2 linked regions of the Kluyveromyces lactis genome follow. The protein of the gene in region 2 purifies or fractionates together with the protein of the main gene of each other region. This does not show direct contact. Links are inferred from orthologs where the notes say so. Each region holds a gene or a part of one and is shown on either strand. Other genes may lie near its edges.

Region 1 (3,166 bases), on a different chromosome or scaffold from region 2:
TAGGTCCACCAATCTTCACTACTGATAGATTATACGAATCTACTCCTCCTGGTGTTGTGATGGGTCTTGCATGGACTAGCATGGGTGGATGTGCAATGTACGTAGAGAGTGTTTTAGAACAGCCTTTGACACATTCAACTCAACCTACTTTAGAACGTACCGGCCAACTTGGAGATGTAATGAAGGAATCCTCTAGACTAGCATACTCTTTCTCAAAGATGTACTTGGCCAAGAAGTTCCCAGAAAATAGATTCTTTGAAGTTGCAAAGATCCATTTGCATTGCCCTGAAGGTGCTACACCAAAGGATGGTCCATCTGCAGGTGTGACAATGGCCTCTTCATTCTTATCACTGGCTTTGAATAAGGGTCTTGACCCAACAGTGGCTATGACCGGTGAATTGACTTTGACTGGTAAAGTTTTGAGGATCGGTGGGTTAAGAGAAAAGGCCGTAGCAGCCAAGAGATCTGGTGCCAAGACTATCATTTTCCCCAAAGACAATTTGTCAGACTGGGCTGAGCTTCCAGAGAATGTGAAGGAAGGATTGGAACCTTTGGCCGCAGACTGGTACGAAGATGTTTTCCAAAGACTATTCGGAGACGTAGACACTAACAAGGGTAACACCGTTTGGTCAGAAGACTTCAAGAAGATTGATGAAAAACGCAACAAGGAAACTAAATAAATCAAACCCAATGTCATTTATCTTATTTAGTCCCATGTAAATATATACACTACTGTAAACTAAACACAGACGAATTTGATACGAATCCACCGCCGAATGAACCCCAGGTACTACCATTCTACTTAAACAACGATTATTTGGATATACAGACAAAACGTACACGAATTCCCCATGCGGCCTTCAAATAAGTATAGAGAATTTATAGATATTAACAACATCGACAAACTGGCCAAATATAACGACATGTCAACTCGTTATTCAATAGTACGTTTTATCGGGCTTCTTTCTGCTGACGCTTTTATATAGTTCCCTTCACGTTATGGAATGATCAGGCTCAATATAAAAAAAAAAAAAAATGGAACGATGAAGCCTTTCACTAGTAACATTAACAGAAGTAAGTATTGAACCACAGAGGCCAGATTCGATCTTTTGAAGCTGACAACCTAGTTATCACTATGTTCAGAACTTTGGTTCTTGGAGGCAGAGGCCTCAGCGGTATTCGCATAAGTTCCCGTGGTTTAATGACCCGTTCAATATCAAATTTGGTAAAGACAAAGAATGTGATTCCCACTGTTGCTCTTAAGAGAGCTTTGCCAACAGTTTCAATGGCGTATTTCCATACCAGATCTATTGTCAGGGAAGCTGTACAGGTATCGCAAACTACTGGTAATGGTATAACAACAGCTACGGCATCCACGGCTAAACAAGCTAAGTCAAAACCCTTGCTAAATTCATCAAAAGTGGTAGGGTACTGGTTAGTTGGTACTTCAATTCTTGTGTTTGGTATTGTCGTTCTCGGGGGGTTAACCAGACTTACTGAATCTGGGTTATCTATTACAGAATGGAGACCTGTCGCTGGTACTTTACCACCCTTGAACCAGCAGGAATGGGAAAATGAATTCACCAAGTATAAAAGTTCTCCAGAATTTAAACAGTTGAACTCTCATATTACCTTGGATGAATTCAAGTTCATTTTCTTTATGGAATGGATTCATAGACTATGGGGCCGTGCTATCGGTGCTGTATTCATTCTGCCTGCTGTCTACTTTGCTGTCGCTAGGAAGACATCACCTCATGTTAATAAAAGATTGTTTGGTTTATCAGCACTACTAGGTTTACAAGGTTTTATCGGTTGGTGGATGGTCAAGTCTGGTTTGGATGAAACACAATTGAAGGAAAGAAAGTCCAAACCGACTGTCTCACAGTACAGATTGACTACACATTTGGGTACCGCTTTCATGTTATATATGGGTATGCTCTGGACCGGGTTTGAGATCTTGAGAGAGGCCAAATGGGTTAAAAACCCATCCGAAGCTCTTGTTTTATTCTCAAAACTAGATAACCCAGCACTAGCTCCATTGAGAAGATCTGCACTTGGTCTACTAGCTTTGACCTTTGTTACTGCGATGTCTGGGGGTTTGGTTGCTGGTCTGGATGCTGGTCTAATCTACAATACTTTCCCTCACATGGGTGATGATTGGGTACCAAGTAAACGTGAATTAATCGACGAAAACTTTGCTAGAAAAGAAGACAAGAGTGATATGTTTTGGAGAAATATGTTGGAAAACCCAACTACGGTTCAACTGAATCATAGGATTTTGGCTACAACCACTTTCTTCGCTGTGTTTGCATTCCACATGTACTGTAACAGAAACAAGGCTATCATTCCTAAACAAGTTCTACGTACTGCTCATGGTATGATGGGTCTTGCCACTTTACAAGTCACTCTAGGTATTTTTACCTTGTTATATTTGGTTCCAATCCCTCTAGCTTCTGCTCACCAAGCTGGTGCCTTGGCATTATTGACAGGTTCATTGTTGTTTGCTTCTCAATTGAGAAAACCAAGAGCCGCAATTAGAATCCTCACCGGTGGACTCTATACACAACAGCAAAAGGCCTCTTCTAAAATCTTAACTGAGGCTTCCAAACTTGCGAAGTGATCTTGGGAACTACGAATGGATCCTTTTTTTTCAATTATTTTCTTGTTTGTCCCCTTTACTTCCTATTTATTATAAACACTGGGCAGCACATTAAATGTTATCTTGTAAATATATATACTCAAAAGTTGCTACCAGTGAACTCCTACCTTACTTTAAAGTGTACTGTTTATACACAGCAATTACAATGCCTCTAATTATTACTTCGACATAAACCTTTTCTCATTATTGATGACAACTTCCATGTTAGTATCCGACATTCTCCAAAGAACGAACATAAATAACGTTCTATGGGGGCTAAATAAATCACCACAGAGCTCAACCACGTCTTCATCGTGGATTTTCCACTTGAAACTCTTGTGCTTTATTTTTGATTTCTTGATAAGAGTCCGCTTGCTGTGAAGCTTCTTTAAGATCTCTGGTCGTTGTTCCAAGTACCTTGAACATCCCCTTGCGATTCCCAAATCTTCAGCTGCAAATACATTTAAGCGATGTAAACCTGTAACTAAAAACATCTTCGCTGACCACGGTCCGATACCCTTGATATTT
Region 2 (1,954 bases):
TCATTTTTTTTGCCTTTGACTGGAGGAGACAAATGGTACGAACCTCATGAAAGAAAAAGTGAAAGCTATTTCTTAAGTGCGGTGCAGAAGATGAAGATAAGGATGCTTGCGTTGGGGACATGTATGTTAAAATTCAGTATATATTTATATACAGAATAGTCTATATATAAGTCAAAGCATTTCTATGTGTGACAGTAAAGGATAATATACTTCAGATAAACAAACGTATTACTGCAATTAATCCTTTTCAACAGCAATGACTTCCATTTCCAAGTCGACGTTCAATGGCAAGGCCTTGGCAGCGACACAAGATCTGGCAGGCTTGTGCACGTTAAAGTACTTAGCGTAAACGGAATTGAATTCTGCAAAGGAATTGATGTCGGCTAGGAAGATGTTAACCTTAACAATCTTGTCCAAATCAGAGTTGGCTTCGACTAAGATATTCTTAACGTTTTGGATAACTTGTTCAGCCTTATCAGCGATAGAACCTTCTACAGGCTTGTTTTCTGCGGTATATGGAATTTGACCGGAAACAAAGATCAAGTTGTTGACCTTGATAGCCTGGGAGTAAGAGGCGGCTGGTGGGGGAGCCAATTGAGTCTTAACTGGAGTCAATGTGTTCATTCTTCTTACAGTTGACTTGAGGGCTTGTCTAAACATAATCTAGGTGTAGAATGTAATCAATTATTAGAGGTTATCTGATGAAAGTTATACAGAAACAAGAATCACTCGAACTAGTTTAATATAAATATAAATATAAAATATGCTGCTTTTACTCACAATGGTCACCCTTTACTGGTGATTGGTAGTAAACGGGATAAATAAACTGTGTGGGACTCAATTTCAGATAATGATACTGATGAATTTATGTCCGCATATCCGGGTAACTTTTCCCTTTTTAATTCCCACCATGGCAAAACGGTCAGACATTCGATAATCTGAAATTTAGTATGATGAGATATAGATCAATATTGCAGTAATAATGATTCCGGCGACCGTAGTCAAACGGAGCTAGCTATTCTCAGCCTTTCAAATTAACGAGGAAAGAAAGAAAACAAAGGAGGAAATAATCGCATATCATATATCAGACATCATGTCTCGTGCTAGTAAGATCACTCTTGGATTAACTACTTTGTTCACAGCGACGATAGTCGTAGGTGTTCATCACGTACAAGAACTTGAAAGACAGACTTTACATCAGGGACCAATCAAAGATGCGCAAAGAGTAGCAGAGAAAAAACTAGCCAGACAGAATGGCGTAGACCCTGAAAAGGAACGTCAAAGAATGGTAAATAAGAACGAACATGAGTATCAACTCGAATTAAGAAAGAAATACGAACAGATGCAACCTTTGAGCGGGGAGGTTCGAACTAAGGATAACGAACTCATAGAACAGAAGAAGTGATATGTCAACACGAACATGTTGTATATACCATTAACCGTTTCTTGTAAATATGCATATGTAGCGACCCTCAAAACACTATATTATTAGTATTGACCTTATAGGACAACATATTGTGCACGTGATGTTGGTATGTTTTGTATGGGAACTTCTGAAACCGAAAACTACCAAAAATAAAAAAAAAAATAAAAGAGACAGAAGAATATTAGGGACTGCAACAACGTGTAGAAACAAGGCGAGTTACATAAGACGACAGAGCAAAGTGTTATTCGTGCTGTGGTCCATTATTATTACAGTTTTGAAAAGACATCTTGGGAAATTGATACTTAGTGGGAGGCACAACAATTACACAGGATACGATTGTTTTTTTTCCTCTATTTTTCCTCTTTTTTTTTGCGAAACGATTATTTGTTTAGTTGAATAAGGACAAGGGTTTATCTGCAATTTGAAATAAGGAACAGGTACCATTTTCTCAAAAGAAATAGTTTTCAGGGACCTCAGAGTGGAATCTGGCAAGGGCTCAAGAACTCAATAACGAATAAGTCAAACTAA

What was found. Proteins that work in one complex are often made in the same cells at the same time.
Region 1: the proteins of PET117 (region 2) and COX15 purify together in Saccharomyces cerevisiae (affinity purification with western blotting; 3 studies listed by BioGRID, with this or other methods). This does not show direct contact. The link is inferred for Kluyveromyces lactis from reciprocal best matches to the Saccharomyces cerevisiae genes PET117 and COX15.

What each region holds. Positions count from the first base shown.
Region 1 is NC_006041.1:913,065-916,230, reverse strand, and holds COX15 (Cox15p), read left to right. Parts: upstream 1-1,135; coding exon 1,136-2,620; downstream 2,621-3,166. Other genes in the region: ATP-dependent Lon protease PIM1, read left to right, coding at 1-680; MAG1 (DNA-3-methyladenine glycosylase II), read right to left, coding at 2,818-3,166. UniProt on the Saccharomyces cerevisiae protein: Catalyzes the second reaction in the biosynthesis of heme A, a prosthetic group of mitochondrial cytochrome c oxidase (CcO).
Region 2 is NC_006039.1:730,335-732,288, reverse strand, and holds PET117 (Pet117p), read left to right. Parts: upstream 1-1,093; coding exon 1,094-1,405; downstream 1,406-1,954. Other genes in the region: putative isoleucine biosynthesis protein HMF1, read right to left, coding at 238-660. UniProt on the Saccharomyces cerevisiae protein: Involved in the assembly of cytochrome c oxidase.